Linked DNA regions of Mus musculus. The protein of the gene in region 1 purifies or fractionates together with the protein of each later gene. This does not show direct contact. Links are inferred from orthologs where the notes say so. Each region holds a gene or a part of one and is shown in the gene's direction. Other genes may lie near its edges.

The links. The genes of interacting proteins can lie anywhere in the genome.
Region 2: the proteins of Nck1 (region 1) and Wasl purify together in Homo sapiens (co-immunoprecipitation; 4 studies listed by BioGRID and IntAct, with this or other methods). This does not show direct contact. The link is inferred for Mus musculus from reciprocal best matches to the Homo sapiens genes NCK1 and WASL.

Annotation. Positions count from the first base shown.
Region 1 is NC_000075.6:100,508,135-100,511,634, reverse strand, and holds part of Nck1 (cytoplasmic protein NCK1), read left to right. Parts: intron 1-2,962; 5' UTR 2,963-2,980; coding exon 2,981-3,206; intron 3,207-3,500. UniProt on the Homo sapiens protein: Adapter protein which associates with tyrosine-phosphorylated growth factor receptors, such as KDR and PDGFRB, or their cellular substrates. Maintains low levels of EIF2S1 phosphorylation by promoting its dephosphorylation by PP1.
Region 2 is NC_000072.6:24,662,196-24,666,232, reverse strand, and holds the start of Wasl (neural Wiskott-Aldrich syndrome protein), read left to right. Parts: upstream 1-1,237; 5' UTR 1,238-1,589; coding exon 1,590-1,697; intron 1,698-4,037. UniProt on the Homo sapiens protein: Regulates actin polymerization by stimulating the actin-nucleating activity of the Arp2/3 complex. Involved in various processes, such as mitosis and cytokinesis, via its role in the regulation of actin polymerization.

The DNA of each region.
Region 1 (3,500 bases):
AATCCAGTTGCTTGAAGCTAAAGTTAGTCTCCCAAGTTATATTGCTAAAAATAACAATAGGTTCTAATAGAAGGATAATCCAAGTATGCTCCAAACAGGAGACATTAAATTCTGGAATATATAGTTTGTCAGCAAATAATATTTTTCCAAATATTCATTATTAATTTTACACACTTTTCTAGAAAAAAATTCAAGACAGTTGTCAAGTATCAAAATAAAGTCCATTAAGCTTTTATAAATTAGGTGTGGTGTATAAGGGAGAAGCCATAGTTCTTTAGCCTATCTTTGAAAAATATCCCTGCTTCTAGTTTTCCAGTGTTTCAGAAAGCTGGCTGCTCATTGTAAAATCAATCAAAATCTCTCTCTCTCTCTGTCTCTGTCTCTGTCTCTGTCTGTCTGTATGTCAGAGGTTGAGTTGACAACTACATGCCTTCTTTAATAGCTCTCTACCTTATATTTAAGAATTTAAGAAAAGGTTTCTCACTGAACCTAGCTAGACTGCTAGATGGGCTGGCATTAAATTCTGGAATGCTACCTCCTAGGAATTTTCTGTGCCCAACTCTGGGATTACAGTTGTGTGCTGCTACATCTGGCATTCTTAGGTATCAAATTCTTCCCCTGGTTTGCATAGCAGGCACATTAGCACCTCCTCAGCTTTTATTCTAACTTAAATCACAACATATGTCAGTAATAATTTAGATTCTTTGTGCGTAAGTAATTTCAGACCGTCAAGTTGCAGTAATACAAGTAGCGTCCCCTCACTCCCTCCCCCAAATTTCTCTGCTCATCTATGTTTTTCTCATGATGGCTATCAAACCCTTGAGGCCTTGTGCATTCTGGGCAAGAATACTACCACTGATACTACCACCTTCCTAGTTCATCAGTGTTTCTTATACACCATGTTGTCTCTTTTTCTTCTTTTTAAAAGCATTTTTGTTGACTTAAGTGATTCCCTTACAAAGCATAAAACAATGTGTGGCAGATTTTGAGGCTTTTGCAAATCCTTTGTCTGTATCTATCTTGTTGACATACTTAGCAAAAGGATGTTGAATTCTGGATTAAAGTACTTACTTCATTGTTGAGAAAACTGACATGGTAGTCAATACCCAAAATAAAAGGCTGAATTTATTTGCTTGCTTCATGAGGCATATCTGCTTTTATGAAACAATCTCTCTGAAGAAAGCAGAGTGAGATCAAGTCTAAACTTACGTTTCAGGACAGTGTTTGCATATATATATATATATATATTTTAAAATAATGCATATAAGTTAGGCAGTGGTGGCTCATGCCTTTAATCCCTGCACTCAGAAGGCAGAGGCAGGTAGATCTATGGCATCGAAGCCAGCCTGGCCTACAAGAGTGAGTTCCGGGATAGCCAGGGCTACACAGAGAAACAGTGCCTCAAAATACAAAACAAACCAACAATTCAACTAACTCATTCAATTATATTTTTTTATTTTTCATAGAGTTTGATCATTGTATTTTATTGTCCTCAGATTTATTTATAAAGTTGTTTGTGTTACTATTCCCTTTGACTGTTTGCAGTATACAGTTGCGGTTCCTAGTATTTGCATGTTCTTTTTCTTTTTCTTAATATTTCCAGAATTGTCATTTTAATTAGAGAGGGGCTTAGAGATTTAACTCCTGAGTGTTAAGTGGCTATGGCTAACAGCCCCAACTTTAACTAAACATCTCCTTCATAAATTCTTTTGCCAGTTACATGAAAGTTTAAAATAATTTTTAAGCCAGTTTATAAAGTAATGGGCTTCATTATTCCAGTTTAAATATTTATTTTTAATATTTTTAATTTATTTGGTGTGTGTGTGTGTAAGAGAGAGAAAGAGAGATAAAGAGGAGAGAAGAGATGGAGTTACAAGGGGTTGTTAAAATGGGTTGCTAGTTGCCTGAGGTAGGGAGTCGGAACCAAATCTTGGTTCTCTGGAAGAGTGGGAAGTACTTTTAATAGCTGAGCCATTGCTCCTGCCTTTATTACTTCATTTTTCATACACATTTATCCGTTATACTTGGTTCTCAGTCCAGAGAACACTATAAAAGGAGAGAGATGTTTTTGAGATCTGAAATGTTGTCTAGGCCTCAGAGTTGTGATGCTGCTGCCTCAGCCTCCAGGCGCTGAGCTTACGGCTAAGACTTTGTTTAGCCTCAGACTGATGGTTTTTATGTGTTCCATATATGTTCTTTTGTTTAGAAGTAACATTTTATATAGGCCGATTATATCTCACTAATACAGTGTTATTTATAACCTTGATGCTTTTGTCTCCTTGATTGTTTTGTTAATTGAGATAAATATGTTAAAAATTATCCCTTATAATAATGAATCTGTTATTTTCTCCTGTAGTTATACCAATATATTTTAATTTTGTACTTTATAACTTATATGGGAAGACAAAAGTGTTCAGAAAGCATCTGTTATTTGTTGTATACAAGTTTGATTTTATCTACTTTAAGAGGAATGTTCAGTTGTCTGTGTAGTGAATTTCATTGCTAACGGTGGTTTTAAATGTAAGTTAGTTTATATAATACCAAATAGGAACAAGTGTTTTTTAAAAATTAGTACTTGCCTGTTAGCATTTTTCATATCACTTTTAACTTTTTGATACTCTTAAATTTATTTCTTTTTTATAGTATTGGGAATTGAGCTCAAAGCTGTGCACGGGCTAGGAGTATCTACTACTGAACTGCATAGTGCCCCGCCCATCTCCTGTTTTGTATATTAGTTTTGAGACAGGGTTTTACTCTGTAGCTTATTCTAGCTTCAAACTTAGTATGTAGCCAAGGCTAGCCTCAGCCTTATGAAAGTCCTCTTGCCTCAGCCTTTTGAGTGTTAGGTTTGCTGGTATGAGTCATAATTCCTGGCCTCTTAAATGTTTAAGCATGTCTTTTTGGACAAGCATGTAGACAATTACACTTCAGCACCATTTAAAACATGTTCTATGTGTTACAGTGTTGACGCTGCTGAAAGATGGCTGAAGAAGTGGTGGTGGTGGCCAAATTTGATTATGTGGCACAGCAGGAACAAGAGCTGGATATCAAGAAGAATGAGCGATTATGGCTCCTGGATGACTCTAAATCCTGGTGGCGAGTTCGAAATTCCATGAATAAAACAGGTTTTGTCCCTTCTAACTATGTGGAAAGAAAAAACAGTGCTCGGAAAGCATCTATTGTTAAAAACCTGAAGGACACCTTAGGTAAGTTGTTTCTTATTGAAGGAGAAGCAACAGCTTTCATTTTAGATCTTAGTTTTGGCTTTTTTTTTTTTTTTTTTTTTTTAGATTTATTTATTTTATGTATATAAGTACCAGAAGAGGGCATCAGACCCCATTACAGGTGGTTGTGAGCTACCATGTGGTTGCTGGGAATTGAGCTCAGGACCTCTGGAAGAGCAGTCAGTACTCTTAACTTCTGAGCCATCTCTCCAGCCCAACTTTGACCTTGTTACAACAGCTCCTGTGGAGTTTTGATTTGCAGAAAGTTTGCCACTA
Region 2 (4,037 bases), on another chromosome or scaffold:
TATCTTTTCCGTTAACATTAACATAATTTGAGATATCCATATACTATGTGAGAACTCCTAAGAGTATATTCGCACATCCTCTGTTGTAGGCTTGCTCTTCATCACCCAATTTCATTATGTGCATTATAGGCAGCTTTACAGCTTTGTTTTCAGTTCGTCGGTAATAGTTTATCAATGTATTGAGAGCTATCAGAAATTTACCAGAGTTTGTCATAAAAGTTGAATATGCAACTGTTTAATTAGAACTAGGTAATTAGCAAACATCGTTAGTACAACTTATGTGATACGTTGTATGATTAATGTTAATAGTAGGATGTACATTTTATAGAATTCGCTGTAATCTGGTTTATCATCTCTATATTCCAATTTTTTTAAATTAAAGCTTTTTAGTTTTCAACCAATGATTTTATACTAACCTTTAATATTATGAAACACAGTAATGAATTCTCATTATTTACTTCTGCTGGGAATATTGCTCAGCTGGCTGAGTATGCACCAGGCCCTAGGTCCCTGCACCTAGAATACAGAGCCATGAAATTAACTCGTAAGGAAAAAAGAGGTAAGGTGTATTCCTACACGACATTCCCAAACGCGTGCATTCATCCTGAATTAAAGAGACAAGGTGCTTCCAACTTGAGATAGAGAAAGATTGAGAGGGGTAGTTTCCAATTCACAAGGCAAGGAAAAAACTACACACACCTATCCCACGAGATCCGCCAGGCGGGTGGTGGACGCCTTTTGCGATTCTGTTTTTGACATCTCTGAAGATGTCTATCCTGATCTTAGCAATGTCCCTCCACGCCCCGTTGGCGGCCGGGACTAAGATCCAGAAACCCGAGGCACCTGCGGCTCTGACCGAAACTACGCCGGCCGACCTTTCTCTCCAGCTAAACTAGATCTCCCTGACAGGCGGCCTGAGAGTCTCGCTTCGATGCCTAACAAACACTGGCTACGCGGACCCGACGCTCCGCAAAGGTGGGCGCTGCTGCAAGGGGGCGTCCGGCTCGGCAGTCAGTGTAGGAGACCCGCCAGCCCTGCCTCGCTCTGAGTCTGCGCACGCGCGCGGTGGTCATTGGTGGGGGCGACTAGCCTGCAACAAGACCTCAACCGGGATGAGCCTTGCCGCTTCCGGAAGGGGCGGGGCCTGGGTAGGACACGCCCCGGCACGCAGCAACCGAGGGGGTGTCCCGCCTTGCCGAGTTTCCGGCGCTCTCCCCCGCGTCCCGCGTCCCGTGGTCTCGCCCGCCCCCGCTGCCATGTTGGATTGTGCGGCTGCCGCCGCCGCCGCTGCCGCCGCCGCCGCCAGAGGACTGGAGGAGTAGGGAGTTTAGCGCAGCCGCCGGAGTGCTAGGACAACGACCATCCAGCCGGAGCTGAGCAGGGCGGGAGCCCGGAGCTTCCCTGTCGGCGCGCGGCCCGAGGGCGCCCGCCGTCATCTCCTTCCCTCGGCCTCCGCGCGCCGGAGGAGCGACGACGGGATGCTGCGGCTGTGACCGCCGGCTCGCGCCCCTGTCACCCAGAGTGGGACCCGAGTGCTCGCCCGCCGCCAGAAGTGACGACCCTGGACGCTCCACCCCACCGGCGACACCATGAGCTCGGGCCAGCAGCCCCCGCGGAGGGTCACCAACGTGGGCTCCCTGCTGCTCACCCCGCAAGAGAACGAGTCTCTCTTCTCCTTCCTCGGCAAGAAATGTGTGGTCAGTAGCCGAGACCCCCCTGTCGCCACCCCCCAACGTCTACTGGCGGGTTCGGGCTGGGGGGGAACGGGACTCAAGGGTAGGAGGGAGAAGGGGGGCAGGCTCGGCACGGCTGGGGTGCTGCTGCGGGCCAGGCCTCCAGCCTCCCGGGCCCTGGGGCTCCCCTCACCCAGCTCTCCGGGTGCAGGCCTGCCCGGCCCGGAGCCACCTCCCCCAGCTGCTGGAGAACAAGGGAGTGTCACCTCCATAGGCCTGCCCAGTAGCCCAGGTCCGCCGGGCCGGGCCGGGTCCGTGCCCTTGCTGCAGGTTCAAACTTTACTCTAGACCACAAGGGGATTTTGTTCGTGCATCAGCAGCTTAAGATCTCAGGACAGGATCCCAGCATTGGCCCTTGCTTCACTTCCCACTTCTGGATCTGGGTTATCTTCTTTAACAATGCTAGAGGTTTTAGGAATGAATAGATGGGGAAAGAAGCGAATTGGATTTTCGGTCCGCCTTAAGGATTCCGGGAGAGAATAAAGTGCAGTGCAGGTTCATGGACACTTAGGATCAGAGCAAGGGCAGGAAATGCGCCTGCTCCCAATTGCAAAAAACAAAAACAAAAAAACAAAAACGGGGTTTATTTCTCCAGCAGAAACTAGGCCTAGTTTCTGCTCTCCGCCCCACTGTGGGTTTTTCTTTTCCTCCCTGGCGTTGTGGGGTGGGGTGTAGGGTGCTGTTCGCTCCCAAGCCATGCGTAGGGAAGCGACAGTTTCTAATAGCTCACGGCCTTTGGGATCAAAAGTGGTTCTGAGTTTGGTGCTGTGAGGAGGCCCATTCCAACCCCAGATGGCGGATTGGGAGCAAGCAGTTCTGTGGGAAGGGGAATGGGTGTTATTGACGGAAGCATTCATTACGTTGGCTGCAGGCCTTTCTGGGGTGGGGAGGTTCTCTGGGTGAAGGCCTTATCTTGATCTTCCTGAGGTGACTGAGTTGAAAGGGGGATTGTTGGAATGCTAGCCGGCTCCCTTTCTGCCGTGTTTGCTAGCTCTCACAGAGCCTGTGCCTCTGGAACCCAGGAAACACCCAGAGAAGTTTCAGCCGAGCTGAACCATTTCATATCCTCCCTTGGCAATGTTGGAGATGTCAGAATCAGACTACACCTGCTGAAGAAGTTAAGAGGAGACAGTTTCTGGAAAGTTACCAGATTAATTGTTAACTTCATGATCTGACTGTTCATATCGACTTTGGGAAACCAAATCATTCCATCGGACTTAAGATGTATTTCTTGTTCTAAAATTTAGACTTTAAAGAACACTGCGTTCACTGACTAAAGTAGAAAACAGTGGTTCAAAAAAAGAAGAAAAAGAGTTTGGGAGAAAATTTACTTTAAAGATGAACCAAGTCTGTCCTCTATAGTTCTTTAAACAAATGAGAAAATGGAGCTCTTGGCCCCAAGTCACATAGTAATTTAGGAATGTAACTGGAACTATATGCCCAGTTACTTTGTACTTTCCACTACATCATGTTGTTTGGTGAGGATTTTGTTCCCCTTATTGATTTGTCTCTCAAAGTGGTGTTAAAGGAATAACTACTTCATTTTTTACATAAAATTAATAGAAATAAAATGTAAATTTCTTAAAGCAGCATTAATTTTTGCATAATTTTCAGTTTAGGGAAATCTTTTTATTTTATTTTTATTTTAATATGAGCTGCCTGCAAGCAGGGTAGAGGTCATCTTTGCTGGTCTAGTACCTTTAGTGTACAGTCTATCAAACATTAAGTAGCTCACTGTGTTCACATACCAGGCCCGTGAACTTCAGGCATGGCAGACATTCATTTGTGTTCTAGTATATGCGTTGCTCAGAGCTTACTGTAGTGTTTACCCAGGGTTTCAAGGAAATGACAGATGTGGGAGTATATTTCGATAGACAAAGATAACACGGCTCACTGTAAGCATAAGTGGGTTACTGAAATGGTTACAAGTAGTCAGTGCTCAATTTCTTTACATCATATATTATTAATCAACTTTACCTTTTGAATTGCAGTAACTTAAAACCACATTGTTGTTGCTTTCTTGTGAAAATTACTGTAAAATATGAAGCCTTTGGCTTAATAGAGAGCAATGTAAAATTGGTGTTATGGAATAATCCTAATAGGCTTTGCTCAGAGGGTTTTTTTGTTTGTTTTGTTTTGTTTGTTTGTTTGTTTTGTAGTTTAAAGCAACAGTGAAATAAATGCATTCTCATAAATCAAGCAGCAAATTTACAGGTCAGAACAAATATAATAAGCAGATACATTGAGAGCTCTATCTACAAAGTTAAGAAATGAAACCATTATATGGTGCCAGATTTTAAGTAA